6 linked regions of the Mus musculus genome follow. The protein of the gene in region 2 interacts with the protein of the main gene of each other region in a pairwise test. Links are inferred from orthologs where the notes say so. Each region holds a gene or a part of one and is shown on either strand. Other genes may lie near its edges. The genes, in order: Lzts2, Zmynd19, Nab2, Saxo1, Tox4 and Enox1.

The links.
Region 1: the proteins of Zmynd19 (region 2) and Lzts2 interact in binary tests that used the Homo sapiens proteins (3 or more experiments, as listed by UniProt). The two-hybrid records come from large-scale screens. The link is inferred for Mus musculus from reciprocal best matches to the Homo sapiens genes ZMYND19 and LZTS2.
Region 3: the proteins of Zmynd19 (region 2) and Nab2 interact in binary tests that used the Homo sapiens proteins (3 or more experiments, as listed by UniProt). The two-hybrid records come from large-scale screens. The link is inferred for Mus musculus from reciprocal best matches to the Homo sapiens genes ZMYND19 and NAB2.
Region 4: the proteins of Zmynd19 (region 2) and Saxo1 interact in binary tests that used the Homo sapiens proteins (3 or more experiments, as listed by UniProt). The two-hybrid records come from large-scale screens. The link is inferred for Mus musculus from reciprocal best matches to the Homo sapiens genes ZMYND19 and SAXO1.
Region 5: the proteins of Zmynd19 (region 2) and Tox4 interact in binary tests that used the Homo sapiens proteins (3 or more experiments, as listed by UniProt). The two-hybrid records come from large-scale screens. The link is inferred for Mus musculus from reciprocal best matches to the Homo sapiens genes ZMYND19 and TOX4.
Region 6: the proteins of Zmynd19 (region 2) and Enox1 interact in binary tests that used the Homo sapiens proteins (3 or more experiments, as listed by UniProt). The two-hybrid records come from large-scale screens. The link is inferred for Mus musculus from reciprocal best matches to the Homo sapiens genes ZMYND19 and ENOX1.

Annotation. Positions count from the first base shown.
Region 1 is NC_000085.6:45,020,515-45,025,349, reverse strand, and holds part of Lzts2 (leucine zipper putative tumor suppressor 2), read right to left. Parts: intron 3,964-4,835; 5' UTR 3,922-3,963; coding exon 3,514-3,921; intron 3,513-3,513; exon of another isoform or gene 3,080-3,512; intron 1,809-3,079; coding exon 1,146-1,808; intron 632-1,145; coding exon 371-631; intron 1-370. UniProt on the Homo sapiens protein: Negative regulator of katanin-mediated microtubule severing and release from the centrosome. Required for central spindle formation and the completion of cytokinesis.
Region 2 is NC_000068.7:24,948,603-24,952,576, reverse strand, and holds the start of Zmynd19 (zinc finger MYND domain-containing protein 19), read right to left. Parts: upstream 2,801-3,974; 5' UTR 2,581-2,800; coding exon 2,530-2,580; intron 2,420-2,529; exon of another isoform or gene 2,103-2,419; intron 1,105-2,102; coding exon 1,045-1,104; intron 1-1,044. UniProt on the Homo sapiens protein: May be involved as a regulatory molecule in GPR24/MCH-R1 signaling.
Region 3 is NC_000076.6:127,659,476-127,664,361, reverse strand, and holds the end of Nab2 (NGFI-A-binding protein 2), read left to right. Parts: coding exon 1-97; intron 98-488; coding exon 489-622; intron 623-960; coding exon 961-1,012; intron 1,013-1,097; coding exon 1,098-1,230; intron 1,231-1,439; coding exon 1,440-1,631; intron 1,632-2,582; coding exon 2,583-2,692; 3' UTR 2,693-3,444; downstream 3,445-4,886. Other genes in the region: Stat6 (signal transducer and transcription activator 6), read right to left, coding at 4,381-4,567, 4,645-4,773, 4,864-4,886. UniProt on the Homo sapiens protein: Acts as a transcriptional repressor for zinc finger transcription factors EGR1 and EGR2. Isoform 2 lacks repression ability.
Region 4 is NC_000070.6:86,477,359-86,482,458, forward strand, and holds part of Saxo1 (stabilizer of axonemal microtubules 1), read right to left. Parts: intron 1,721-5,100; coding exon 1,515-1,720; intron 1-1,514. UniProt on the Homo sapiens protein: May play a role in the regulation of cilium length. Stabilizes microtubules at low temperature.
Region 5 is NC_000080.6:52,288,165-52,293,196, reverse strand, and holds part of Tox4 (TOX high mobility group box family member 4), read right to left. Parts: intron 2,437-5,032; coding exon 2,356-2,436; intron 1,723-2,355; coding exon 979-1,722; intron 678-978; coding exon 514-677; intron 1-513. UniProt on the Homo sapiens protein: Transcription factor that modulates cell fate reprogramming from the somatic state to the pluripotent and neuronal fate. In liver, controls the expression of hormone-regulated gluconeogenic genes such as G6PC1 and PCK1.
Region 6 is NC_000080.6:77,154,656-77,160,385, reverse strand, and holds the start of Enox1 (ecto-NOX disulfide-thiol exchanger 1), read right to left. Parts: upstream 3,624-5,730; 5' UTR 3,344-3,623; intron 1-3,343. UniProt on the Homo sapiens protein: Probably acts as a terminal oxidase of plasma electron transport from cytosolic NAD(P)H via hydroquinones to acceptors at the cell surface.

The sequences.
Region 1 (4,835 bases), on a different chromosome or scaffold from region 2:
AGTGAGTTCCAGGACAGCCAGGGCTGTCAGAGAAACCCTGTCTTGAAAAAAAAAAAAAAAAAAAAAAAACCAAAACAAACAAAAACAAAAGCTGCCTGGGTTTGTATCTCAGCCCAGCCACCGCTACTTTAATTCAAGGCTCTAGCTCAATTTTCCTCATTCATGAAACGGAGGTATTAACAGTACCCATCTAACAGAGAAGGAAACGCCACTAGCTGTGAGGTCACTAGATCACAACCGTGAGATCCAACAGAGGCACAAGGAATGCTCCAACCCTGACAAGGAAGGACAGACCCGGAACGGTAGCTACTGTGGGCCAGCTGTGCAGAGCGTGACCCCCTTCATCCTGCCCGGCGTCCATCATGCATACCTCCCATTTGGTCTCCTCCAGCCGTGGCCCGAGTTCCCGCTGCTCCCGTTCAAAAGTGGCACAGCGGCGCTCCAGCTGTTCCCGCTCCTGTAGCAGCTGGGCAAAGTCATCCTGCAACTGGCGCTTCTCTTGCTGCAGCTGGAACACCTGCAGCTGCAGCAGCTGTTGGGCCCGCTGGACGCGCTGCGTGGCCTGCTGCGCCTGGGCTGCACAGTCCTCCCCTCGCTCCCGTGGCCAGCGCCGCTGCCGTGCCCCGAATGCCTAGGGAAAGACTTCAGGCTAGAAATGGTCCGGTCCAGTCCCTCCGCCGCCGCCGCCGCCGCCGCCGCCGCCGCCGCCGCCCCCCTCCCCCCCCGATCATGAGCTCTACCATCTCCTGCTTGGGTAGCTCCCTGCCTGGCCTGAATCCAGTGAATTATGACAATTATAAAAGCAGGCACTTATATGGCCTTTCCTAGGTATCAGGTGTTAGTCTAAGGACTTTATCCTTTTTGTCTTATTTAATCTTCATCACCCCCTTAGGGAGTCACAGTTATCTCCATTTACACAGGGAGACTGCGGCCCGGTGAGATTGATTAACTTGCTCAAACCTAACACCCTACAAAACAGTGCTGGGTCCAATTCCTATATACCCTGCCTCCTCACCGCTTTGAAGGTTAAGCTAACCAACCTTGGGGGGGAGGGGTGTCACACCAGGAGTCTTGACCCTCTCCCTCCCCAACAGCAACGCTCTGGGTATTCAGCCCCACGGCCCCAGGACTGCCATTGGCCGCACCTGACACACTGTGGCCTCACTCTCATCCATACTGTCCCGCAGCTGCTGCAGCTCTGCCTCGCGGTCTCTGAGCTTCCCTTCCAGGACACAGTGTAGCAAGGCCTCATCCGAAGGGGGTGGAGGTGGTGGAGGGGGTGGAGAGCGGTCTCCACCAGAACTGCTGCCAGGGGAGGCCCGGGCACCACTGCCCAAGAGCCCCCCAGCTACACGACCCCCCAAGGAGCCCGTGCTTTTGCTGGAGGAGGACCGGCCACTGTCTGAATGGGAGGGCCCAGTAGGGACCCCTCGGGCTGGACCAGGCAGTGCCCCTCGGCCAGGGCCGTGGGAGGGCAGGTGCCCACCTGGGGAGTTGGTGGTTGGCTCGGCACCTCCAGTGCTGTAGGTGGGCAAGCTGGATAAAGAATTTCGGCCAGAGTCTGACAGCGTTCCTGAAGGGCAGCCACTGGCCCAACCACTCAGTGCCAAGGGTTTGTCAGCAGCAGAGGAGGAAGAGGAAGAGGAGGAGGAAGAGGCTGGCCCCCCAAACAGCTGTGTCAGGCTGCCCTGGCTCCCAGATAGCCCAGCAGCTCGAGGACCAAGGAAGCCGGGTAGGGATGGCGCCCCCCGAGGTTTGGGTAGCACTGGCTTGAAGGCTGTTGGCCGGATCAGGATCTTCTCCATATTCTGAAATGAGGCACCAGTTGACACTGTGAGGGTGATCTGCCCAGTCCCTTGCCCTTTTTAAAATGTTATTTCTGTTGCTTTTCTGAGACAGGGTTTTACTTTACTGGCCCGAGCTCACTCACTTTGTATCCCCAAGCTAGGCTTGATCACAAGCAAGGTTTCTCTGCCTTTTAAGATTACAGGGGTGGGTGGGGGGTGGGTGGGGGGTGGCTCAGCGGTTAAGAGCACTGACTGTTCTTCTGAAGGTCCTGAGTTCAAATCCCAGCAACCACATGGTGGCTCACAACCACCCGTAATGAGATCTGGTGCCCTCTTCTGGTGTGTTCAAAGACAGCTACAGTGTACTTATGTATAATAATAAATAAATCTTTAAAAACAAAACAAAAACAAACAAACAAAAAAAGATTACAGGGTGTGTGCCGGGCAGTGGTGGTGCACGCCTTTAATCTCAGCACTTGGGAGGCAGAGGCAGAGGCAGGCAGATTTCTGAGTTCGAGGCCAGCCTGGTCTACAGAGTGAGCTCCAGGACAGCCAGGATTATACAGAGAAACTCTGTCTCCAAAAACCAAAAACCAAACCAAACCAAACCAAACAAAAACCAAGATTACAGGTGTGTCATACCAAGCCCAGTTTGCTTGCTTGATCTTTCAAAACACTAACGTGTGTAAGTTTGTGTGTGTGTGTGGTGTATATGTATGTTTTATGTGCATGAGTGTGCACGTGTGCACACACTGGTGACTGGTGACTGCGTGTGAAGAGACCAAATGTCAAAGTCAGGTGTTTTCCTCAATTACTTTCCACCTAATTTGTTATACAGCCTCTGAACCTGGAGTTCACCAACCCAGCCAGCCTGACTGGCCAGCCAGCCCCAGGGATCTGCCTGTCTCTGCCCGTCAAGTGCTGAGATTCCAGTCCTTTGCCACAATGGCCAACTTCTTACAGGGTACTGGGGATCTGAACTCAGGTTCTTGTGTTTATGCAGCAAGCATCTCACCCACTTTGCTATCTCTTCAAGCCTCAAACCTTGATCTTTCAAAACTGTCACACTACTCGATTCCCCATACAGGGTCCTCAAGTCCTATAAATTAAAAACAACTCTTCCCTCTAGCAGCAAGTTTCTAATTGCCTACTTACATTAAGTAATTCAAAATGCTCATTTTTTAATCATAATAGCTACACAAACAAAACATGATCCTCTTCTCATATTAAAAACAAGGATGTAGAGGCCCATAGTAAAGTTAAAGGTTTTGCCCAAGGACACATACACACACCTCTGAATAATTGAAGCAACTAGGCTGGAGGTGGTAACAAATGCCTTTAATCCTAGCCCTCGGGAGGCAGAAGCAAGCAGATCTCTGTGAGTTCGAGGCCAGCCTGGTCTGCACAGTGAGTTCCAGGACAGCCAAGGCTACAGAGAGAAACCATGTCTCAAAAAACAAAATAAAACTAACTCAGACAATTACTATATTGTTCATTTGAGGTTGCTGGGTACTTTACTATGTATTAATTCTAACAGGAACCTACAAAGATTAGCCTCTAACCGTAACCATAAAGACACAGAAAACGGGGCTCAGACAGGTTATTTCACTGTCTGAGTGGTAAGACAGAACCCATATTCTTTGCTCTACTGACGCTTCCAAATTCTAGCTTCCCTGAGGGGCTCCTGGCTTCCCACCCAGGTCCTCCCAAAAGGGCTGCCCGTTACCTTCTCCAGCTTTCCAGAGACAGGGATGAGCTTTGGTGGGGGCCCACGGAGGTGGGCATTGTGTGCCTGATGTTCCCGGGGATCTTCAACATCACTGCTGGGGCTGGGAGGAGACTCTGTCCGGAAGTCCTCATTGACATAGGTAAAGCTATTGCCTGGGACAGCCTTCCTCGGTGGCACAGCCGGGCAGAGCGGTTCCTGTGCCTCGTAGCCACCCGGTAGCAGCCCATCCTGCTGGCGGAAGAAGGTGGGCCCAGGGACACCATGATGTCGTTGAGGAGCAGGTCCCCCGGGGCAGGGCCGGCCTGAGATAAGACTGCTCACGCTGCCCATTGCTGGAGTTTTGGGGGCAGTGGCTGTCTCACGTGCGGGCTCCAGAGGCACTGGCAGAGTGTGCACAATGGCCATGGTGGCAGAGGCTCAGGTCTGGCCAGGGGCCTCCGGGGCAACCTGTGAGCAGGGCATTGGTGTCAGAGTCCCTGCACCTTGAGGATCCTCCCCCTATAAGCCTTCTCCTGACCCCCTCCTCCAGATAGAACATTCCCCATTTAGGAAAAAGGCTTCCCTTCCAAGAACTGGCATGAACCTCGAGTTCCTCTGGGCCTCAACTCTAGTCTGGAACAAGGCTAAGGAATAACTTGACCACACAGAGAGGAAGGAATGGGAGATCTAAACATTTATACAGGGTTCCTTGGCAGAGAAGACCTAGTTTAAGCCCCAACCTGTATCCCCTATATAGCCAAAGACTCAGATTGGGCAGAGATCCCTAACTCTAGCTCCCAGTACAGGTCCCTACTCTCCTGGGACAGGTGGCCTCATTACTGGGCTGTTTGGGCAGAGGACACGTCAGGGATGCAATCAGCAACTCAGATGGTAATTAGGGAACAAAGAGTCAAAGCCAGGCGCTGTCCAGCCTCCCACCACTGGGCCTCAGTTTCTCCCAGACACTCAGGCGGCTTCGAGGGTGGAGCTGGCCAAACAGGAAACCTTACAGGTCTTAGGAATCCACAGGTGCCCTCTGGGGTCTCTCCTACCTCCCAGAGGTTGATGCAGGCTGTGCTTGTTTCCATGTCACTCTTAGCTTCTGCCATCACTCGGGACTAAGGGAGCCTACCCAGGCCCTGTCCCACTGCCAACCTTTATAAACCTTCCTGCTTTAGTTGATCTTCAGAATAACCCCTATGGAATTTGAGCAGGAGCCCATTACCACGTCTAGTAGGAGCTCAAGTAAGATGGCTGGCTCCGCCTCCCCTAGTCTTACTCCTTCCTGGAAAGAACAGCAAGCCTGCACCCAGAACGGAACTCCCGCCCAGTCCCAAGGC
Region 2 (3,974 bases):
AGCACAGAGCAGAGTGCATCTGTTGGAAAGCCTTTAACTCTCAGCATATTTCAAATCCAGCTCAGAAAAATGCCAGAAGTACAGATGATATCCTGCTCCTAGGACCCCAAAAGTACAGGGGTCACATCCTGATCAACAACTTGCAAAATACTGTGCACACCAACTAAATTTTCCTACCCTTAAAAAAGTCCAGAACGGACGACGGGGAGCTCAGCAGTTAAGACAACTAGCTGCTCTTTCAGAGGACCCTGGGCTTGATTCCCTACAGCCACCTGGTGGCTCACAACCATGTGATTCATGCACGGATATTCAGGTAAACATTAATACACATAAATAAACCCATGGGAAAATAATAATTGAGGGGGAAAATGCCCATGTTGGCTGTGATGCTCCACATCTGTAATCTTAGCACTCAGGTAATGGAGACAGGGAGATTTAAATATTCACAGCTGGCTTGGGGGAGCAAAACCTTGCCCCCACGCCCCACCAGGCCACCATCCAGAGATGGTAGGTAGTTCTTTACCAAGAACAATGAGGGCAGGATGGCCTCCATGGTTATAGTGCAAAGGCGAGAGGATAGCTACACCCAAGTGTGCTCATTTGATTTAACAGACACACAATCATCAACACAGCAAAGCAGTGTGCTTTCAAAGACTAGCAATCAGGGTGAAGAAGGTCACAACGGACTCTACCAGCCAGCAATGTCCAGGTTGTCACAACCTGCTCTGGAGCTAAAGATCATAAATATCAGTGGGAGGGCTGGTGAGATGGCTCAGTGGTTAAGAGTGCCGACTGCTCTTCCAAAGGTCCTGAGTTCAAATCCCAGCAACCACATGGTGGCTCACAACCATCTGTAATGAAATCTGACTCCCTCTTCTGGAGTGTCTGAAGACAGCTAAAGTGTACTTACATATGAATAAATAAATAAATATTTAAAAAAAAATAAAAAATAAAATAAATATCAGTGGGTATCTTCTTGTTCTCCCAGAACAAGGGAGGAAACTCATTTCTTATTCTTCCTGGGCAACAAACAGCAATGCTTACCTCAAAGGAGTAGCTCTCCACCAGTGGTATGTCTTGCTCATCGATCAGTGTGTATTTGGTCTGAAAAGAAATCATGTTTCAAAAATTACATATGAGATTCACCTATGAAACAATAACATCAGGAATCTATAATACTGTCCAATAAGAAAGAAAGGAGCCACATGTTAAGTGGGGCCTTGCTCAGGCTCATTTGGCACAGCCTACATCAAAGTGCAGTCCAAGCTGGGCATGGTGGCATCTTTAATCCTAACACTCAAAGGTAGTGGCAGACAGAACTCTGTGAGTTCCCGAACAGCCAGGACCACATAGTAAGATCCTGCCTCAAAAAAAGAAAGAAACGCCAGGCAGTGGTAGCGCACACCTTTAATCCCAGCTCTCGGAGGCAGAGGCAGGCAGATTTCTGAGTTCGAGGCCAGCCTGGTCTACAGAAGTGAGTTCCAGGACAGCCTGGGCTACAGAGAAACCCTGTCTCGAACCCCCCCCCCAAAAGGAAAAATAGTAAAAAGAAAGTAGATCCAGTATATTAAAGCAAAACATGACCACATGTACCAGCGTGGGTAATTAGGCTTCAGAGCCCATCTACACCTGATAGACCCTGACAAGTGGTATCCAGAAACTCGGTCAAACACAAGTCTAGTGGAATGGAGGAAGGGAATGGGATTAAGATAGATCATCCAGGTTCCAGGTGAGATGTTTGTTCAATAGGCTGGATATATTGCACGTGCTCACTGGATAGTCCTTCACCTGATTTCAAATACTCCTAATAAAAGCTTTAATGGCCCAAGGCTCCTGCAAATAATTTCTAAGTCATAAGCCTCCCATCCCTCTCTAGTTAGAAATAGAAAGTTCCAGAAGTCCTTTCCTAAGCTCAAGACAGGTTGCTTTTACTTTCCTGGAAGCTCTTCTAAGATCTCAGTTACCTGCCTCTACTTTCTGTCTGTTCCTCTCTCCCACTAGTAGCCGCCGCCACTGGTGGAACAGACTTAAGGTCCACAGTTCCTGAACAGCACCAAGAAGCCCAGCTTCATGAGGTGGGTGGTGGCCCAGGCGAGGAGTACCTGAGAGTCTTGGAGCCTACCAAGATCAGGACCCTGGCTCCTCGTCTGTGCTCTAGGGAAGCCTGCGACTCGAGTGACCGAACGTGGCCAACGTTAAAACGCTCCGCCAAAGGGGACTGCGGACCGGCCGCTCCGCTCGCCTCAGAGCTTCGGGCCGAGAGCGTCACGGCGGGAGGCCGCCGCGTTTAAACCGCAGGTGCAGCCCGGCCGCCGGAGCCGCGGCAGGTGCCCAGGGAGGCACAGGATGAACCCCAAGGAACTGTTCCGCGCCAGCCAGTCCCACACGAGTCCTGAGGCCGAGGGGCGCGCCCCCGGCCGCGGGGAAGATTCCCGCGAGGAAGGCGGCGCCGGACCAAGCAGGCCCGCGCAGCTGCTCGCCCTAGTGCCCCAGCCCGTGCAGGCCTCGCCGCCGCTCCACACCGCTCACCTTCCCGGCCACCCGGCCGAGCCGCACGATGCCCAATTTAAAGTCGGTCATGGCCAGGCCTGCGCTCTCGGCAGGCGGAGCCGCTCCCTCGGGAGGCTCCGGACCGGACCGGGCCGTAGCGAGGCCGCGGCACTCCGGGTCGGGCCGGTGCCGGAGTCAGGCCGGGCGGGCCGCGGGCGGACGAGGCTGGGCCGGGCTCGGGCCACCGCCGCCGCCTCGCGCCCGCCGGACCTGCCACGCGCCGCCGCCACCACCGTGCGCACCCCAGCGAGCGAAGCAGAGGGCGGGGCACGACCGGGACACACCCCCCACCGGCGGGGGCCGACCAATCGCGAGACGCGCCCTTCGCCGGTCGTGGCGCGCCGCGGCCAAGTGACCAATGGGACTAGGAAACAGACGCAGGCGCAGTGAAAAAGAACCAAGTGCGGGGGGAGGGGCGAGCCGGGGGCGGCGCCTGCGCGGCGGCCGGCGCAACGTCAATTTCGCGGGAAGCTTTGTGCGCGCTGCAGAGACCGCTGAGGCGCGGGAGTGAGCGCAGTAGGTCGCAGCTTCTTCCTGAGACTAGCTGCTTGCGTTCGCGCCTCTGAGTTGTGTACAGTGTAGAACGTATGTCCTTACCCGGTGGTTACCGGTTAGCAGGATGCTGAGTGAGTGGTCCAGGTCTCCAGAATCAACCTGCGGGGCAGCGACGAGTACCTACAGGGTGTTTCCTGGAACCCATGCACCTTAGGTCTCCTAAGACCTTCCGGAAGAAGCCGGAGACTGGGGTGGATATCGGTCTCTGGAAAAGGGAGACCTGGTAGTCTGGAATCCTGACATAGCTGACAAGGCCTAGAGTTCGAACTCAGGGCTAGGCTCCACCTGCTTCAAGATGATCCCAGGCATCAACGGATCTGCATACGTTTCTACCTCTCATTGTTCCATTTTGAAATTACCAGGAGCAAAGGATTGTCGAGTGAAGCTAGAACTTCTCTCAGCCCTTGGTGCATAATATTATCCCCAGGTGCTTTGCTGCTCAAACGCACCTGTTCCATTACCCGCTTCAGATTTGTGATGATTAAGAGAAAGCTTTTTAGTAAGAGGTGGAATGCTTAGGATGATGCAAAGTGCGTTCCCTGGTGATAAAACCATTTGTCTTATTGCATATTCCTCTAAAACATTAATTCAACACATCCCCATGACTTGAAGAGAGACCTGTTAGATCAAAGAGATCCCCCTTGTAGAGGGAATCAACCACACCTCATGCCCTATTGTATACATTTCTTAAGCTGATATGAATGAGTATGAGGTAGCCACAAGGTAGGGTTAGATTAGATTCTAAATTATGGCTTTACAAACTATTTAGCCTTCACTAATCTGCCAAACTCAAAAATAGCTACACCCTGAGCTCAGAAGCTATTCCCTTTAAGGGAAGAAGACATAATAGATACAAATAGACTTTTCTT
Region 3 (4,886 bases), on a different chromosome or scaffold from region 2:
TGACGCCCAGAAGGAAGAGGAGATCCGGAAGTACAGCGTCATCTACGGCCGCCTGGACTCCAAAAGGCGGGAGGGCAAACAGCTTAGCTTGCATGAGGTGAGGACCCCGGGTCCTCAAGGCTGCCCTTCACTCCTGGGGCTCAGTTCACTTGCCTCTGAGACTTCTTCCGTCTTCCACCTCTGTATGACTGTCCCCACGACCACCCAAGCTCCTTCCCCACACTCACACATACCCAACCCCTGCTGCTGCTTTACGTTCTTGTCACCCAAAGGGAAGCTGAGATAATAGCAGTGAGCCCCGCACTGCTCACATCCTAGGTGCAGGAGGCCCTGATAGGGACAATATCCCCACCCCTGTCTTTAAGTACAGGCAGTTCCTGGGTATTATTTAAAGCAGACAGTCTTTGGATGGACCTCCCAGTGGTGGTAAAGGGGAAAAAAAACAGTAGGAAAGTCAAGGACTCACATTGGCTGTCCTCTTGCCACAGCTGACCATCAACGAGGCTGCTGCCCAGTTCTGCATGAGGGACAACACTCTTTTACTGCGAAGGGTAGAACTCTTCTCACTGTCCCGACAAGTAGCCCGAGAGAGCACCTATCTTTCTTCCTTGAAGGGATCCAGGTGAGACCCCCTCCCCCCTCTTCCCCAGGGCCATTTGGTTGGAATCCTGCCAAGGACTTGGCTCTCCCCACTTGTGGCTCAGGCGGCTCTAGGCCTGCTTCCCACCCACCTGCATGTCTTCACCTTGCCAACTCAACTTAAACTTGTCTGAAGCTTGCTCTCTGTTCCCAACCCCCCCGCCCCCCATAATGATTGGACTTCCAACTCCTGTCCAACCAGCTTCTTCCTGCAGTTTTAAGTACTGCATGTTTCCTGGCCGGATTGTGCACCCCGTGGGTTGTGGAGTTGTGGGGCCCTTCCTAATTCCACTCATTTTTTTTTCTCCGTTTTTTTTGCAGGCTTCACTCTGAAGAATTGGGAGGCCCACCACTGAAGAAACTGAAACAAGAGGTAGAGTTTGGGGGGCAGGGAACGGCAGCCTGCCCCAACCACTGCCTTGGTGAGTCCTTATTTTCCAAATTTTGGGCATCCACAGGTTGGAGAACAGAGTCACAATGAAATCCAGCAGCCTCCTCCAGGCCCTGAGTCCTATGCACCCCCATACCGCCCCAGCCTAGAGGAGGACAGCGCCAGTCTGTCTGGGGAGAGCCTGGATGGCCACTTGCAGGGTGAGTGTGCATTAGAGCACCTTTCTCTGCTTTGGGAGGCGGTGGAAGTGGGGCGGGTGGATTGCAGGAATGAGCCAGGTGTCAACTGCCTGGAACAGGGTTGGGAGGCCTGGCTGGATGGGGACAGAGGAGCCTATGGGAATGACTGTCGGTTGAGGGTGGGTATTGTTGGCAGCAGCCCCTGACCTGACCAGTGCCCATGCCCACAGCTGTGGGGTCGTGCCCAAGGCTGACGCCGCCCCCTGCTGACCTGCCCCTGGCATTGCCAGCGCATGGGCTATGGAGCCGCCACATCTTGCAGCAGACACTGATGGATGAGGGGCTGCGGCTCGCCCGCCTCGTCTCCCATGATCGTGTGGGCCGCCTCAGCCCCTGTGTGCCTGCGAAGCCGCCTCTCGCAGGTGAGGCAGCCAGCAGTGCTGTCCCTAAACACCCCAGTTACTCAGGCCCCCATGTGGGTCCTCATTTTCTAGGACCAGAGGGAGGAAGAGGGATACAGCTGTCAGAACAGTAGGAGGAGCTCCAGCTAGCCAGACCTTGAACAGGGCAAGCTACTACTGGGTTATTTCCAAGTGGGAGGGTCTGATTCAGGTGGGGATCTTTGACCAAGGAGCAGAGAACAGAATGAGGGGTGAAGGTGAACAGGGGAGACAGCAGTAAGGGAGGCCTGGCTAGAGCTACCTAATGCAGGGGATGGAATCGCTGGGAGTTGTGGGGATAGGGTTCCCCAGCTTGGAAACCAAGGAGCCCAAACTGGGCACTTTATGTGTGCATAGGAAAGGAGAGGGCCGGGCAGCCGCTGGGCTGAGAGTGACGCCGCAGGCAAAGCCACCAACCCTGGCTTGGTATTTTTAAACTGTGCGTGGGTGGGAAGTGGGGGCGGGGACTGAAGGGGGTGCTTCTCTTGAGGGAGGAGCTGGGAGTCTAGCTTCCTGTGTTTCCCCTGATTTGGCTACCAAAAACTCGGGGAGCACTTATAGGGAGGGCGAGACCTGGGAGGGGACCCGAGGTGAGTGGAGGGGGGTGGCTGGGCCTGGGAAGGGGGAGGGGGAGGGAGAGAGGTCAGAGCCAAGCCGCCCCCGCAGCTCCTGACAGAACCAGAAATTCCAGCAGAGCAGAGGCGGGCGAGACAGGGAAGAGAGACACACAGAGACAGAGAGCTACACACAACCAAACTAGGAGGGGGAGCTGCATACGCTTGGGTACGGAACCCCCATACACATGCAGTGGGCAGGAGGCAGTAATTCAATAAATGGAGCTGTCTTCGCATTTTTCTGTGCCTGGCCTCATAACAACGCTTCTGCTCAGCCTCCAACCCAGTGTTCTAACCAACCTACACCTCTTTCCTACAGAGTTCGAGGAGGGGTTGCTGGACCGCTGCCCTGCCCCGGGACCTCATCCTGCTCTGGTGGAGGGCCGCAGGAGCAGCGTTAAAGTGGAGGCAGAAGCCAGCCGGCAGTGAAAGTGGGGGAAGTCTCAGACCCAGGACCCAGACTTCTGGCTCACTTAGACCCCCACATTCTCCATCCTTGCACTCGCCACTACCCTAGAAGGATCCTTCTGCTGCCCTCTGCCTCCCATCCGCCCCATGGGCACAGGACTATGGGGCTTCAAGCAATAACAGGCAGGGGCCTGGCCAGAGGACACAAGGACGGTGCAAGGTGTGCCCTCACCCGGCTTAGGGGCACGGACTTTGCCTCCAGCCTGCTGGGGCTCTCCTTTCTCTCATACCACACACACACACACACACACACACACACACACACACACACACACATATTCTCCAGGTGGCCAGCAGTGGTGTGAGCAGCTGAACTACTTCACTTGGACACGGAGAAAGAACTTCCCCAGGAAGGTCTAGCGACTTACAGTGGAACCTTCACTCTGAGACTGGGGGCTTGGGAAAACTGGGTCTCCCCTCCCCATCCCCATTTTTCGTGCTTCTAGTTTGTTTCTTTAATTTAACAAGTGCTGCAGTTTGCCCACCCGTTCTTATCTCCCCCCTCCCCGCAGACCTTTCTCTCAGCACTGTGTGGGAGGGTGCCCCGAAGTTCCCTCCACCAGCCCCTTAGAGGCCTGGGTTGGACCCTGGGCCTCCTCAGCCGGCAGGACTGCAGCACCTGTCGAACACTTAGCGTGTCTTTCTTTTCAGATTGTGTACAGTAGATTATTTATTTTGTTATTTTGGAATAAAATTTATTTTATGGCTTAGGATCCATGGCCCCCTTCCCCTCCAGTGAGGGAAAAAGGACTGGGTAAGAGCCGGGGGAGGGGGGCAGAGCTGGCAGTGGACAGAAAAGTACAAGAGACAGCAGTTGAGGGCCTCAACGCCCAGGGAGTTTACACAGAGAGGTCTGCATCCCTACTTATATCCCAGGCTCTAGGAAACACTGGAAGCATCAAGTTACCCAGGCTAGAGCTTTATGCATGTCACAGCCACATAGTTACTCCCCAAATGATACTGGGTTGCTGTCTTATACAATGTCTCAGCCTTTCAGATATGTTAAGGTCACACTGGCAAAAGCAGAAGATACATGTTCTGTGCGGTCATACAGTGATGTGTGACTTCTATAGGTTAACATGTCTTGGGTAAACATTGGTACAGCTATACACAAGCTTAGCTCTTAGAATGCAGTCTCAAATGTCACTAGGCATCTTTTTTTGCAAGAATTTGGAGCTTTGGAGTCTTGTTTTTTAAAATCTGGGTAGAACTCACACCAGTGACTGTATACCCACTTTTTCCTTTTTCTCCCTCCCAGAGTCACCTGAGCCCAGCTTCAATGCCCTAGGCCTATATGCCCTCTGTCTTTGGCACAATGTCTCTATGTTTCTGTATGTTGAGTCCCAGGCCCTGGCTCAACACAGTTCTGGTGTGTGTGTATGTGTGTGTGCGTGTGTGTTGTGATACAGTTGTATCACATTCGAGCATTAACACCCCACTCATCCCTTTGCACCCAGTGCTGGAAAAGGGGGGCCCTGATATGGCAGGAAGGACAGAGCACAGCAGTTCCATACACCACATGGTCTCCCAGCCAGTTCTTTTCTCTTGACCAAGGAACAGTTGAGACGGAAGGCACCTGCATGAGCAGGTGTCCAGAGCTGGTCCATAGAGACAGAAGAGGCTTTGTTTCTGGGCTTCTCCAGCTGGGATCACCAGCTGGGGTTGGTCCTTAGGTCCAGGTGGGACAGTGAGATCCCTGATTGCCCATAAGGAGATGGTTGCAGGAGGGGCTGGCTTCCTAAGGACCCTCCTGCCTCCCCTTGGTTCTCCAGGAGAAGCTTGGTGAGGTCCTGTTCAGTGGGAGGCATCAGGGGAGGGTACATGTCTTCACTGACCCTGCAAAGAGGAGGGAGAAGTAGGGGAGCAGGCACAGCACCCATTGTCTCAGCCCTCACTCCCGGGTTGCTACTCACCAGGTGCCTTGGGGGAAACCTCCCACAGGCTGAGTTAGGCAGCTGTCCTCTACCATAGTCACATCTGAGCAAAGCATGGGTTCAGGGCTGGACACAGCATGTTCCTGGGACTGGCACTGCAGCAGACCCCTGCCAGGGGTCAGAAGAGGAAATTAGGAGGGGTGGGGTAGGCAAGGGAAGAACAGAGAGGGTGGGGCCAGGAATGGCTTTGTCACTTACTGGGGGTGAGGCTGGTCAAAGGG
Region 4 (5,100 bases), on a different chromosome or scaffold from region 2:
CAGCTCCCTTCCCCTGTAAGGCCTCTTTGAAATCTATGGCATCCTTAGCTCTTTTGCAGCCCCTCTGAAACCTACATAAAGATATAATTGCCAGGTGATGTGTAATGAATGACCTGAGAGTTAATAGTCGTAGTTGGATTGGAATAAAAGATACTGTGTTTTCTCTGGCCAGATTCAAAGGGAAGTCAAGACAAATTGGCCATGTGCAACCAATCAATCCAGAGTGGCTTATGATTTGGTTTTCAATAAATTTTAGCACTGTGAAGAGACGCACATATGTCTGTGTTTCTGGCATAGCACACTTAGAAAAAAATATACCAGAAAAATAATAATAAATCTTAAAAGTGGGAGCTAGAGAGATGTTCTTTCAGAGGACATGGTTCAGTTCCTAGCATCCGTGCAATACAACTACCTGTAACACCAATTCTGAAAGATACAAAGCCTGTCTGGACTCCATGGGCATACCTATACATAACGTATACTCAACACAGATACACACATATACACAAATCAAAAGTAAGTAAAATACATAAATTAAAAGTAAATACATTTTTGAAAACTTTATACAGTGCACATATTATTAAAATGCCACTTCATGCCCTATAAATGGGTACAATTATTATGTGTCAATTTAAAATACAGATATTTTCAAAAGAGTAAATCAACTGAACATAAAAATTTTAAACTGGCAAAACTAATTTATGGTATTAAATTGCTATGGTATGGTATAATGGGGCAAGAAATGTAGCTCAGTTAATTTGTCTGGCATTTGGGAGGACCTGGCTTCAATACCCAGCATGGAAAAAACCCACAATGGCCGTGTTCTACTTCTGTAGATGTGGTATAGTTTTGGCCAAGCACTGTGTGTACAGTAAAAATGCTCTGATCTATGTAACCATACTGCATTCACTTTCTGTGTGTTATATTCAAATTTCTTGTAGTTGGATGAAAACAAGGAAATTGTAGATTCCTAATTAGCTTAAATTTGAACAGATCCCCCATTGTAAGAATCAAACAGAAGGCAAGTCAAACAAGGATCATAAAGAATATTCTAAAAGGTCAAGATACTGTGCATTTCTGCCACCCGTGGAGCCTCGGCCATGATCACCCAGCTTTGCCACTGTCACATAGAAGCAGTTAGAGCAGATGCATAAAAGAATGGATATGGCCACGTTCCAACATAATGTACCCTTGCCGGTAGTGGTGGCGCACGCCGGTAGGATTTGCTGAAGGAGGCAGAGGCAGGAGGATCACGAGTTCAAGGCCAGCCTGGGCCAACATAATGTACCCGCCAACGGTGAACTTCAAATATTGTAATTTTCAACATGTCTTGAAATAACTTTTTCAGTTATTGAAAATTATAAAGCCATTCTTAGCTTCCCATCTATACAAAAGTAGGCTGTTAGCTAGATTTAGCCTGCAGGTAGTGACCTTTGCCCTAAGGTGATGTGCATATACCCATGTCTTGGTGGGTCTGTAGCCCTGGCCTGACCTCTTGTTAATCCTTCTCTCACCTTTGTAGGTAGGCAGATATTGCATTATCTTGTCACCATTTGGAAATTTACTGTCCCGAGGTTTGATGAGGCCAACTGGACAGGTAGGGAGGTAGTTAAAATCGTGTTTATACGTTGTGAGTAAATCCATAGTCTCTTGACTCGGAACATATGTGTCAGGCTGGTGGAATGTCACCGGTAACATTTTGTGAAGCCCAAAATCTCTCCTAGGAAAAGAATAAACACAAGTCATTGGGATCCTTGCTCAGAAAAAAGACAGTGTTGTCCCCTTGGCTCGTATTAACAAATATTTCATTCTACCCTATCTCCTTACCTTCTATTTTTCTCTCTTCTACTATGGAACATGTCACTACAATTGACTTTTTTCCCATGTTTGACCCCTCGGGTGTCATCCTTGACCCCACCCTTCAAAGCCACCAAGAGCACTCACCAGGAGCAGCCCCTCTACCTTATTGGTTTTCCTTTCCTCTTTGGTCCAGACCCTTGCCCTTTTTTACTTGGGCCACGTGACAACCTTCCCCCTATCTTCCTCCTTCTGCTCCAATTTGCTTTGGTGTGTCCAGAGTAAACGGTGAAAAAAAGTCAGATCAGCTTGCCCAGTATCTTTAAATGTCTTCCAGACTAAACCCAGCTCACCCATGCAATTTATAAGTAGTCCCACACCCGTCCCCTGACTTATTCCCCACCCCTACCTATAACACATGTCAACCACGGGGCTCACTGAGAAGGAAGGGTCTTCTGTACTGAACCTCCTACCCATCTTCCATCCAACCCCTCATGTGGGGCTGGCATCGGTTAGCACCCGTTTCTCAGATACACTCACCTTTCTCTGTGTTCTCAGAAACTTCTTCTACTAATATTTATCGCCTCTACTCAGCCTTACAGAAAACCCAGAAGAGAAAAAATGTCATCGAGGCACAAAGTCTTCACTTCTTTGCTATCTACTGTCAGTGCCCCCATTATGTGAAAGAGGAACAAAACAGTAAGACGGAAAAGACAGAACACTGTTCGCCAAAGTAATCCCTTCCCAAATCATTGCACATCTGTGACAGGCCCAGGTGGCACCTGCCCATCATGCCGGCTATACCCAGCTGAGCCGGGCATTCCTGCCCACTGCAACAGTCTCTACTGCTTATTTCTCCATAAGACCAGTTCCTCCAAAGACTAACTGCTTCTTCCTGAATCCCATTTAGCCAAACAGGACAAGGGAAAAGCAGAGTTTTCCCCTTAAAGGTACTTGAGAAAACAGCTCTGTCAATGGAAGGGAGAGAATTCCAGACAGGAAACATTAGGCTAAACACTAATAAAACCTATTTCCAGGCTGAAACCTGGGGCAGCATTACCGAGCCATGCTTGAGTAGCAAGGGTAACATGCTCCACTGTAAACTGTCTTGCATGAATTATACACGGGGTTGTCCATAAACCCAAAGCAGGTCCTGAGCATGCTTGGTGGGATGAAGGACTGGGGAAGCATAAGAATTAGTCTCCTTGGGACTGCAAGTGGGAAACGGGAGATGCTTCGGCTGAACTCCTATAACACCCTCTTGGTACATCTTAAAATATATCCTAGTAGCAAGAACAACTGCAGCCTGACCTGCCTTCCTAGCAGCCTCACTGTGGGTGAACAGCAAAGGGACGCTGAGGGACCCCAGCATCTGGAAGTCAATTATAAAGGTGGGAGTTATGGAATAAACAGGCCGACAGGAAGCTAATAAGAAACCAAGGGTCAGGTTCACACTTTTCACCTTCTTAGATTAAGGTTGTGACTTCTCACAACTCAACCAATTGCAGCAAGACACTAGGAGACACTAAGCCTCCATGAGCTGTACGGACCAATGAAAATGGCTAAAACCCCATCTGAAAATCAGCTAACCTGAGAGTTATCTTCCTTCTAAAGTTCACCTTCTGGAGAGAAAATACCTAACAGGAGCTGAAGTTTCTCTCCACTCCCAGGACTAACGTGGCATTTTGAGGCCACCTTATCTATGTTCAGTGATGGCTAACCAGGCTGTGGTCCCTCTGCAGTTCTGAGGTATAGCAGAAGGTACCAAAAGTCATCATTGAAGAGCAAAGCTAGTTGTCCAAGCTTGCATGCTGAGGCCTCCCACCCCAGAGCTCTATGACTACCCTAAAAAGCTTACTTCTCCTCCAAGATGCCATTTTCCAAGGGTATTCAGCCCTGCAGACTAACAGCTGAAGCAGGCTCAATGCTCCATCTGCTGTTCACCCTCAGAAAGCTGCTAAGCAATAATGCTCACAAACTCACCAGCTCAGGGGCTAGCCTCAAGTCGCTGCTCAAAGACAGAAGCAGACGCACAAAACATGCTAAGTTCAGGAAATGGATTCATTACTTAATCTCCTTCCGGACAAAAGATTCAAATCCAGATATGAATGTGCATCTTTATTTGAATTCATTTACCAGCTCTAGAGAAGGCAAATCATTATGGGGAGGAGAAGCCTCTCACCTTCAGGGGAAAGGATCATTTTTAAGTTTGAAGTTTGATCCATTTTTATCTGGCCCAAAAATAGTCACCATGGCTTGCAAATGAATTTTATCAGAATGTATGGGCTTCCTCGTTAGATTTTTATGTTGGGAACATTCACCGAAAGCTATCATTAGCCGCAGCCTAAATGCCTGTCCCCAGTGTCACATAATCTTACATCCTTCAAGTTCATGGAGAAAAAAAAAAAGTTATTTTATTCTATACAGAAATTGCTTAAACTTAACCACTTGTTTTTCAACATTCAATGGCTTCTCTCTTCCTGTGGTGCATTCCCGAGTGTTTAACCTCGCTGTGATTCTGAATAAAGAAAAAAAAAAAAAAAAAAGGTCAAAGATCTAAGTTTTCTTTAGGTAGGTAGCTATAAAAGCTACCCAGCATGGAAAGCCAAGAGTTAAACTAGAATTAAGTACTGGTTAAAGTGGCCCTGCTGGGGAAGTTATAGCAACTTCATTTCAAATCATTTGGCTATGCTAAAGAAAGGTGTTGGGCATGAACAGAGAAAAAGGAAAGGGGAAATTACAGAATTGCTAACGAAAACCATTTGCCTGGAAGTGGAGAATGGAGAATTCTCACAGGAGCCAAACAAAGTTTACTTTTTTAAAAATAATTGAATATTTATACAAATTTCAAAAGGTATTATAGTAGCCGCCAGGGAATCAATCATGCTAAAATGGACTCTGTCTTACGGGGGTGAAGGGTGGCTTCCTATTTGCCAAAGCAGACTGTCACCCTTTCCCTAAATCACCTGCTTGAGCTCTTCATCCACAGACCATCTCCTACCCTGCATCTCTATCTTTCCCCAGCTGTCTCCTTTCTGGCAGTATTTAAACATGCCCCAGTATCTCCCATATTTTAAAGAAAAATAAAATATTTTATAATTTTTAATTGGTTATTTTATTTACATTTCAAATGTTCTCCCCCTTCCCAGTTTCCCCTCCACAAATCCCCTATCCCATCCCGATCCCCCACCCCTGCTTCTATGAGGGTGCTCCCCCACCAGCCTCACCACCCTACCATTCCCCTAAATTCCCCTAAGCATCAGGCTTTCACAGGACCAAGGGCCTCTCCTCCTATTGATGCCC
Region 5 (5,032 bases), on a different chromosome or scaffold from region 2:
GAGAGAAAGATACATACAAACTTATTATAGCAAAACCATACCCAAATATTTCCCTACATCTCCAAAGTATAACATCATCAAGTAGCCTAAAAGTCAGATGTGGTAGACTGTGCCAATCCACCTCGTAGAGGACACATATGCCCTTTCACGGATATAGGTAATTCCCTGGGATATTTTGGTAGAAGGGCAAAGTTTTCACTTACTACTCACCTTCTCTACACTTAGCATTTACTCTGCTACTTTCCCCCTTACCTATCCCTCACCAAATTCTTTGACACTGGTAATTGAAATCAGGACCTTACCCATGCCAGGCAAGCAGTTGTCAGTTGAGCTACATCCTCATCTCTAAGCAATTGAACATCTAGGAGCATCTCTAATCAGATACCTACCCACCCACACATGTCAAGTGGCTCTGCCTAATAAGGTCATGCTCAGTCCACACGGGTACGGGTACCATGCTCCCCAACAGTTTCACTTCACTACCTCTTGATTTATAAGGACTGTTAAACTCACCTGCAGTGCTTCACCACACACTCATTGCTGCAGTACTCGTTGTCCCAGTCCTTACTGACAACAGGAGGGTTCTCACAACCAGACCTCACACATCGAGGCTGAGGTGACAGTGCCACAGGGGAGCCACTCACCAATTCAACATCCATCTGAGAAGGAGACTCCACCTTAAAACAGGGAGCAATACAAGGATGGATTAGAGTGCTACTACCTAGTCAAAACATCTGCCACACCCCCTTATATAAGGAGTTTCAGAAAAAGGTGATTTCTTGTTCTCATTTATAACCAAGCTTACAGCTCTAGGAAGCAGAATGAATTCTTAATATTTTCATTTTAAAGTAACTTTATAAAGTGAAGCTGACATGCAGAGGCAGGAGAATCAGGTTCAAGGCTATCTTTGGCTACATAGTCCATATGTCCTGGCCAACATAAGACCCTATCTCAAAAAACAAAGAGCAAAGGCTTTACCTCAGGAACTACATCTGCGATCATTTCACAGATTGTCTCAGGAGAGGTTGCCTCTACTGTGTGGGCCTCGGGGCTGCTGTTCATAGGCTGCTCAGGACTGCTTTCTACAGTTGGAGGGACCACAGTAGTCTGTATTTTCAGAGTGGGTGGAGGCACAATCTTGCTCTGCAGAGGTGGTGGCTGCTGCTGTAAGTTGATTCTAACTTTCTGAGGTGGAGGTTGCTGCATGGCCTGAAGTGGAGGGGGTTGCTGTAGAATGGTTACTTGCTGTTGAGTTGGGGGCTGAGGCATCTGTTGCAACGGAGGAGGCTGTAGTCGGGGTGGAGGCAGTTGCATGGAAGCAGCAGCAGCTGCAGCTGCCTGCAACACTGACCGGGTGACAATCTGGGCCTGCTGGCTTGGCTGAATAGTAGCTGTACTTGTTTGGCCTACCTGGAGCCCACGGGAGGTAACCACTGTGGCTGGGATAACAGTAACCATTCCACCTTGGGACATGGTGATAGAAGAAGGCAACATCTGTTTGGTAATAATCAACTTGGTAATATTGGGCTGACCTCCAGGCCCAGAAGAGGCTTGGTTTGCCACGTAAGATGAAAGCGTGGAATTCACTATGATGCAAGGGGGCAAAGCAGGAGACTCCGTTGAGGCTGGTGCTGGAGATGCTGGGTCAGCAGCAGTCACAGGAGGTGGGGAAGGAGTCTGTGACTGTGGCACAGGATCTAATTCCACTGTTTCCACAGTAGCCTACAAACAAAGACCAAGACAAAAAGGCGACAAGTAATTTACTCTCTACTCTAGTACACATTCATTTTCATTACAGCAAAAAAAAAAAAAAGATGTCATAGAAAGATAAGGACTTTCTTACGTAAACACTGGAAGTAGTGGATAAACTAAAAGACTTATTTACAGAACTTATGATTGAAATACTGGGTGAGGAAGCTCTAAAATTTAACACTATACAGTAATAGGTTATACAGGTTTATTTTTTATGTGTATGTGTAGTATTTTTTGGGTGGTGGTGGGGTTCGAGACAGGGTTTCTCTGTATAGCCCTGGCTGTCCTGGTATGTGTAGTATTTACCTGCACATATGTGCACCATATGTATGCTTCAGGAGGTCATAAGAGGTCACTGGATCTTAAGGAACTGGAGTTACAGATAGTCCTAAGTCAACATGTTGAGTATTGGGTACAGAATTAATATCCTTCCCAAGAACAGCAGTGCTTTTAACTCTCACAGCCTCACCACGATTTTGGTTTCCTGGCTCTGTGTGTGTGTGTGTGTGTGTGTGTGTGTGTGTGTGTGTGTGTGTGTGTGAGATTTACCTATAACAATTGGAAAAAAAAATGACTTAAGGCATCTGTTTATTGTAACCATACCTGGCATTCCTGGTTGTCTTTATAAGCAGCTAGTGCCTTGAGATACTCTTTCTTGGCAGCCTCAGTCTTCCGCTTGTACACCTACAGGAAAGACAGTGTTTGTTTCAAATGAACCACTGGTAAGTCTGGTAAGTACTGTGCATCAGAACTCAGTTCAACCACTCACAGAGGTGAACAGCTCCATGTCCACTGCCATATAAAGCATAAAACCGTTTGCAAATTGTAAGATCAGTAATATACTTAGCTCAATACCGCCCAACTCAGAAAGGTTTCCCTTAGGAAATGTGTAAGCTGTCAAAGATGACCTCAAGAGTCCTTTCCTCTTGCATGTCTCTTCTGACACCAAAAGCGGAAGCCTATTTCTTTTACTGAATCTGGGCTACCTCTGTGACTTGTTTGATCACTAGAATATAACACACTATTTAAAACACAAGAGGCAATAGATCTCTATGAATCTGCATCCAGCCTGGGCTACAAAGTCAGTTCCAGGACAGCCAGGACTACACAAGAAACCTTGTCTTAAAAAACAAAGCAAACAACCCAAAAAAACACATGAAAGGCTACAAGGAATAACAACACAGCAACTAACAGACAGAAGTAACTGCCAGCTTAGCCAGCCATACTCCACCATTTGGTTAAAACAAAATCAGCTTTTTGTTTTAGGTACTGAGGACTGCTTTGACAGAAAATACAGGCACATAGGGTAATGATAATTACAGCTATCTTCAGTTTACGACTTGATGATTCATACCTTCCACCCCCACCAACACACACATTCCATAAGCTAGCCTTGAAACTCATGATCCTCTCTCTGCCTCATAAATGCTAAGAACCACAGTAGTATCCTACCATGTCAGTTTCTTTTTCCTAAAGAGATGGTGTATGTGTGTCTCAGTATGTTGTTGATCCCAAATCGCTGGGGCCAAGGTGTTTTCTACCCTGCCCTCCCCTCCCCAGTATAACTGGGACTACACATACATGTCATTATTACCAGTTCAATTTTTTTAATTCTGTTTAAATTTAGGGAGAATATATGTATATTCTATATTCTATTCTATTCTCTCTCTCTCTCTAAACATATATATATTATATATATAGTTAGTTTTCAAGCTAAACTGTACCTGAAACTTTGAGGGATAGTTTCAACATGCAACTTACCAAGAAATATTTTAACTTTACAATTAGAAAAAAAACACGAGGCTCGGGAAAGTTAACCTAAAAACTAAACAGTTAAAGACAAAAGAGGGATTAGGCACTATTGGATGGTACATGGAATTTCCAAGCTTTGAAAAGCTAAACTCAACAGCTGAAGACACAAGGGATAAGGCACAATTGCTCACTGTCACATGAAATTTAAAGTTAAGGGAACAAGACTGCCCAACCTTATCATTTAGAAGCTGTATGACCTTAACTGGGTAGGGAACCCCATAGTTCATCTTTAGACCTTTTCTTTCTTTTCTCTTCTCTTCTTTCTCTTTTCTCTTTCTCCCCCTCTCCTCTTTCCTTCTCTCCCTCCCTCCCTCCCTCCCTCCCTCCCTCCCTCCCTCTCTCCATCCCTCCCTTTCTTTTTTTCGAGACAGGGTTTCTCTGTGTGGCCCTGGCTGTCCTGAAATTCACTTTGTAGACCAGGCTGGCCTCAAACTCAGAAATTCACCTGCCTCTGCCTCCCAAGTGCTGGGATTAAAGGCGCGCGCCACCACACCTGCCAGAGTTCACCATTAGTAAAAGGAAAATGATGGTTATTTTACAGATTAGGGAAGATACACAGTCTTTTTATAGTGGAATTTTATTATTTATTCGTGTGTACATGTGCATGTTTTTGGGTGTGCATGCAGAGGTCAGAGGACAAATTGATTCTTCCCTGTCACCGTGAAGAATGTTGGGTTCAAGGTCATCAGAAGCCTTCACCCAATGAGCGCTAATTTGCAGTCCCACTTATAGTTTGATAATGGGATTTTAGGTTAGAGGTAGCTCTGTAGGAGAGTAAACATTTAGCAAGTATAAAGCCTTGGGTTTGCTACCCAGCACAACAACAATAACTAAATTAAAATGATTTTTTTCCCTGAAACTTCTAAGATAAAGAATATGTGAGCCAGGCAGTGGTGGCTCACACCTTGAATCCCAGCACTCAGGAGGTAGAGGCAGGTGGATCTCTGTGAGTTTGAGGCTAGCCTGCTCTACAGAGTAAGTTCCAGGATAGCCAGGGCTGTTACACAGAGAACCCCTGTATGGAAAGCAAATGTATTAATACCATTAACAAAGAGCTCTACGACAGGGAAAGATGTGTGGTGATTTGAATTAAGAATGGCCCTCATGGGCTGGAGAGATGGCTTAGCAGTTAAGAGCATTGACTGCTCTTCCAGAGATCCTGAGTTCAATTCCCAGCAACCACATTGTGGCTCACACCATCTGGAACAGAGTCCGATGCTCTCTTCTGGTGTGTCTGCTGACGACAGCGACAGTGTACTCACATACATAAAATTAAATCTTAAAAATATATAAATAGCTGGGCAGTGGTGGTGCACACCTTTAATCCCAGCACTTGGGAGGCAGAGGCAGGTGTATTTCTGAGTTCGAGGCCAGCCTGGTCTACAGAGTGAGTTCCAGGACAGCCAGGGATACACAGAGAAACTGTCTCGAAAACAAATAAATAAACAAACAAATATATATATATGTG
Region 6 (5,730 bases), on a different chromosome or scaffold from region 2:
CTGTGTGCAGCACACCTCAGTCCACACTCTAGCCTAGTATGTCCGTATTGATCTTCACTTGTAATTACTATGTACTTTCAAAGTATCCTGATTCAATCCCAGCTACAAGTTCCAATGGGGGAAAAAGGGAACGAAGAGAGAATAATGTGGAGGAGAAAGTAGGAGACAGTCACCAAGGAATTCCATCCCAGGGTATCCCAGGGAAGCGGTCCTATGGGCTGTCACCAGGCTGCTGTATCCCTCCCGTGCCTCCGGAATGCTTGGAATTAAATAGTTAAGCTGGAAAGCATCACTCTCGACTTGGCTTTTAGCAGTAAAAGGCTGCCCTCTACTTAGGTATCACAGAGCTAACTCAAGCTTTTATAACATCCTAAGAGCACCTAACGGTAGTCAGTGTGTGCTCGGGATGCTTAATGGCTTCTGTGAAGGTTAGAAACCTCCCTCCCACTCTGGTTTTTCTGTTTACACCAGGCTTTAAAAGGGGCAATAGAAATGAGCGCTTCATTTCCTCAACAATCACCACACAGTTCTTATTACAACCAAAAAATTCAAAATTGTGTTACTAACATTTTTTTTTAAAGAGACAGGTTTGCCTGTCTGAAGTGAAACTTGCAGATGTATGTCAAGTGGAGGGCTTCGATGCCTGGGCTGAGGACCATGGGCTGGGGACCATGGGCTGGGGACCAGGATGTGCATGCAGCTGTCACTGCTCTGTTTTTCATTCACAGTAGGTGGTTGCCAGGCAACAAAATACTATTGTCTGTTTCTGTGATCTATTGGCCAATTCTACTGGTGATAATGCTTTTACAGTTTAAAACAGGGCCACCTTTCGGACAAGAAGAGATGAGCAAAATTTCCGAGGCCGACAAGAATATATATATGAATATAAATACGCTGCAGGTACCCTAAATCATATGCATCCAGTTTATAACTGTGTGCAGACATAAATATATATTTTGCACATACCCATATATGTTTGTGCTATTGCACACATTCTTTTCCAGTCTACACACATATACATTTCGTAGGCCTGCAGCCAGCATCTAAATCCATGTGGGAAAACCAGAGCATGAACTAGAGAAATAAAAACACAGTCAGAATCATTTTCTCAGCAACAGCAACGACTTCAGAGGTGTCAGATGTGTCAAACCCTGTTCCTTGATTAGGAAGCCTTCCAGAGAGCAAAGCTCTTCTTCCTACTTATATAATAGAAGATTGGGAGGCTTTGTCATCTCCTTTGAACCATCTCACATATTAAATAAGCCATTTAACTTAATATGTGCTACCAGACCATAAGTGTGTTAAAAGACCTTTCAACTAGTGTTACCATTTACACATAGGAATCTTTAAAATTTATTCATCTTAAAAAGAATTGAATTGCACTCCCTGGAATAGCCTCACGTGACTCTCCACTTTGTTTGGATATGGGTCCCTGGGTAGTTACAGCCATGCTATGTTCCTTTTGCACATTCCACCAGCTTACAAATAAAATAACACACAGTGTGCTCAATATAAAGTTGTCAACATTATCCTGCATCCCTTGCCACTTGCTTTGCATTGACAAGGTTACAAAGATAAGAATGACAATATCCTTAAAGTGTTCAGACATGACATCAAAACAGTCTGAAGGAATTAAAGCTCGAGAATGCCGGCGGCAATCAGGCTTAGAAATGAAGGGAAATAAAAGTAATTTGTACGTATTTCTGGAATGGCACTACACAATGTCAGGACAGTCTCTAGACTTCACACAGTGCCCATCCGTCTTGTCTCACCATATTTCAGAAGCACTTTAACTAATGCTTCCCTCTAGAGGGATGAAATTCATTACCATTTGCAAATCTGCATATCACAAGAAAGCGGAATAATCAATATCCATTATGTGCACGGACATTATTACTATAAGTCTCCTATCAAGAGTGCAACGCTAGCAAAACAAAAGCAAAGTGTGTTAATCACAACCTAAGTACTAGACAAAATTACTACTTTTCCAGAGAGCAGTCTTCAGCAGACCGCAGCTGCCTCCCACTAGAGCTCCCAGGGACTTCTTCACATCGCCACCTACAAAAGACCCACCACCTCCTTCCTTGGGTTCGTAAGCACCAGGGTCTCTGCCAACAATCCATTTCCCTTCTCCTTTCTTCACCTTCTTCAGATCCCTTAATGACCCTTCACTACTTCCTCCAAAGGACCAAACTCAAACATGCAGCCCAGTTTGCCATGAATCTCCTCTCGTGCATTCGTTTCCTGCATTCTCCTAAAGCTACTTTTAAAAACCACTACCACTGAACAAACATAATCTCAACAAAATTTAAATTTTTTAAAATGTTATAACAGTGGAAGACTGCGGAAGGGGGAGTAAAGCACAATGTGCAATTTGAAGGAATGATACTAGCCGGATTACATACACTGGGATGTGTATGCCATAGAGCTGGGTTTCCCCACCTGTCGACCCCACTTCCCCCATGTGCTCGCTGCGGGATGACAACCACAACACTCCAGAACCACCCCCTCCAAGGAGGCGGGGTTATGAGATCAACCAATCAGAGCCCGCGATCCCGGGTGTCCAACCTATGGGGTGGCCGTGGCCATGCAGGGGTAGGACATAGGGTGGTCCGGGAGGGGCCGCGTCCGTGGGAGGAGTGCACGTGTCCAGAGAGGCGGGGAACCCGCGGGCGTCCAGCTGCCGAGGCGCCGGCCGGGTGTCCAAGTCCGGCTGCCCAGTGCGGTCTTGGACTGGGAAAGGCAGGCGATCGCCCGCAGAGGAAGACCTGTCCTTGTGTCCAGTTCCCAGCGAGAAGGAAAGACACAAATAACAACAATAGTACCTCGCGCAGATCGGGCAGAGAGGAAAGTTTCTGGCCCGCGCCAGAGTAGAGAACGCCAAGGCAGGGAGATGCTATGCAAGACAGGAGGAGGACACTATGGGAAGAACGGAACAACCGGAGGGCTGCGCGGGCAGGACAGGGTCCCGGGTGCGGTCCCCGGGAGGCGAGCGGCGGGGTGCGCTGTCCAAGGTGCAGGGGAGGCGGTTGGTGCGTGGTAGGCGCGGAGCCCGAGCGGACTCTAGCCGGCCAGCGATAAAAAAGAGCGGAGTACATCTGTGTGGGGCGCTGAGCACCCCCGGCTCATAAAAGTGCGGGAGCCCGAGGAGCGTCGGGGAAGGGCGCAGGGGGCTCCCCCACACCGCTGCCTTCCAGCCTCACCTCCAGCTCCGCTCCCCTCCCCCCTCGCCCACTCCCCTCGGTGCCTTGTTCCCCGGCCACGACGGGGGCGGGACCGGGAACCCCCCATGGGCGGCGAGTCCCTACGCCCCGGGGATGCTGCGGGCCGCGGAGCCGCTTACCTGGGGCCGCGGTGCGGGGATTCGAGGCAAGCGAGCGCCGGGCGCGGCGCGGCTCCTCCTTGCCTCGGCGTCTCCTCCCGATCGCGCTTCTGCCGGACTCTGTCCAGGGCGCCGAGCAGCCAGACCCGGCTAGACTGCAGCCTCCGCTCGCGCCGCCGCTGCTGCCGCAGACAGAGGACGCCCCGTGGCGGCTGGAAGCCTGTGTGAGTAGCAGCGCCCGGGAGAGTGGGATCTGCTCAGGGGCGCTGGAGACTCCGCGGCTCGGGGCGCGCGGGCGTGCGCACGCGCGCCTGAGAGTGTGAGTGAGTGTGCGCGCGCGCGCCCAGGAGTGGGGGGAGTCGCGAGGGGCGGGGGAGCGAAGCGGAGAGATGCTCGTAGGGACCGAGGCAAAATTCGTCGCCCCCGGAAATCCGTAAAGCGGTGAAAGGATGGGCGGCCTGTCTGGCCCGAAGAAGCGACTGGCCCGGCGGAGAAACCAGATGAGAGGCGGCGTGGCGCGCTCGAGCTCCGGATCCCGGCCGATCTGGAGCCGGAGGAGCGCTCTGCCACTGATGCTGCACAAGTGGTGCCCACGGCCGAGGATCGCGCTATTCCCTCGGGGGAGGAGCTGAGGCGACTCGCTCGTGCCACTGCTGCCAGTTTGAATTTCTAGGCTGGACGTTCAGGGACTGGTCTTGGTACCCCATGGTTGCCATGGCGACCTTGAAGGCGCCAGGCAGGCGACCGGGGTGCGGGGGGGAACTCGGTGCGTGCAGTGGACTCCAGGATGCTGAGATGCACTGCTCAACCCGGCGCTGTCTAAGGTTGAGCCTGGGCACAGAGGTTTTACCCAGGGTATTAGGATGCCTCAGTGGTGGTTGGGATCGCTCCAGATGAAAATGTTACCTTTTTGTTCTCCTTGGAAGCCACTTTCCCTCAAAGTTAGCCACCTCCATATAGAAGTATTGGCCCTCTCTTTGTTAGGATTCTGCCAACTGTCCCGATACACAAGTAACTCAAAGCAAGCTGAGAACACCTTCATCACCGAGCGCTCTAACACCTTAGAGATTATGACTAAATCCCACTTATCTGTCCTATTCCTGAAAGGTACATCGAGCTGTTGGTATAGTTTTCCATGCTTACTTTAAATAAGCAGACTTTATTCACCCAAGAATTCCTTCCAGGAGTGTAAGGTCCGTGTTGCAGTTGTCATGCTCTTCTTGGCAGGAATCCTCAAGAGCGGGTTAGGGTTTGCACTTTTGCCTGCCCTCCAAGACTTGCACAGCGCCCCTGTACACTGTGTGTTCTCTATAAATGTTGAATGAATGACATTGTTTTCTAGCTTCACATATCCTGAAGGCAGAAACTCAGATGGTGGGAATGTCATTACCATCCCACTAGGCTTGCTTGATTTAAACGTATGCCAGTTCCCTGTGTGAAAGACTATTTTTCCCCTCGGGCTGCCAGGCCCCAGTGCAAAGAAGGAACATAGGAGAAGACTGACCCATTGTGCAAATTTACCAAAAGATTCACGAAAAGAGCACTCAGAAAGGAACTTGGTGGTATAATCTGCCTGAGCAAAGGATAAAGATCCTGGGGACACCTAACCTTCTCAAAAAAGGTCCAAGTCACCGAGTTGCAGATACTTGGCAGTTTCTACACTCCCTTCTACAGAAAAGGATAGGAAAGGAGGTGTTAAATCTGTCTGCCTCTAGATGCTGGTCAGAAGCAAGCTTTTCTCTTGTCAGGAACACTAGGCACTAAACACTGGCCCATACGTTACAAGGTCACTGGGGCTTGCTAATTCTGCTGCTGCTTCAGGGTGGCTTCCTCCAATCTCAGTATTTCCAGTCATCTTCTTAGAAGCAAGAGTTCTCGATTTCACATTCCACGCTCAATTTCAATTCCTTTGAACTCGGGCTCTTCCAATGAGCTGCCTCTCTTGCCAGCCATGATACCACAGCTGTGAACTATAACTGAAATAAAGTGAGAATTAAAAAGGATTTATCTGGGTGCCTCCAAATAAATCCATTTTATGTTTTCTCTTAGGGGGTCCCTTCCAATGACTTCACTGTCATTTCATTTACAGTCTTCTGAAGAGACATTGGCTATCATCTTGGAACTCTTGTTTTGTTAAATGAGAAACTTAGATATCTAAAACGCTGCCTTGAAAAGAATTTCTAAAACTTGGGAGCAGATATGCAGACTGGACCGCCGATAGGCAAACTAGACCACCAATGTAAGACAGTCTTCCAAGACAATTTTCAAATGTTTATAAAATTCTGTTCATTTGCCACATATTTGTCTTACCTACCAGAGTGGAAGAATGCTCTCAAAGCTGCAACTTCTTCAAATATCGTGTCACCACCAACACAAGTGATAAGAAGCCAATGTTTAAGTAGAAGTAG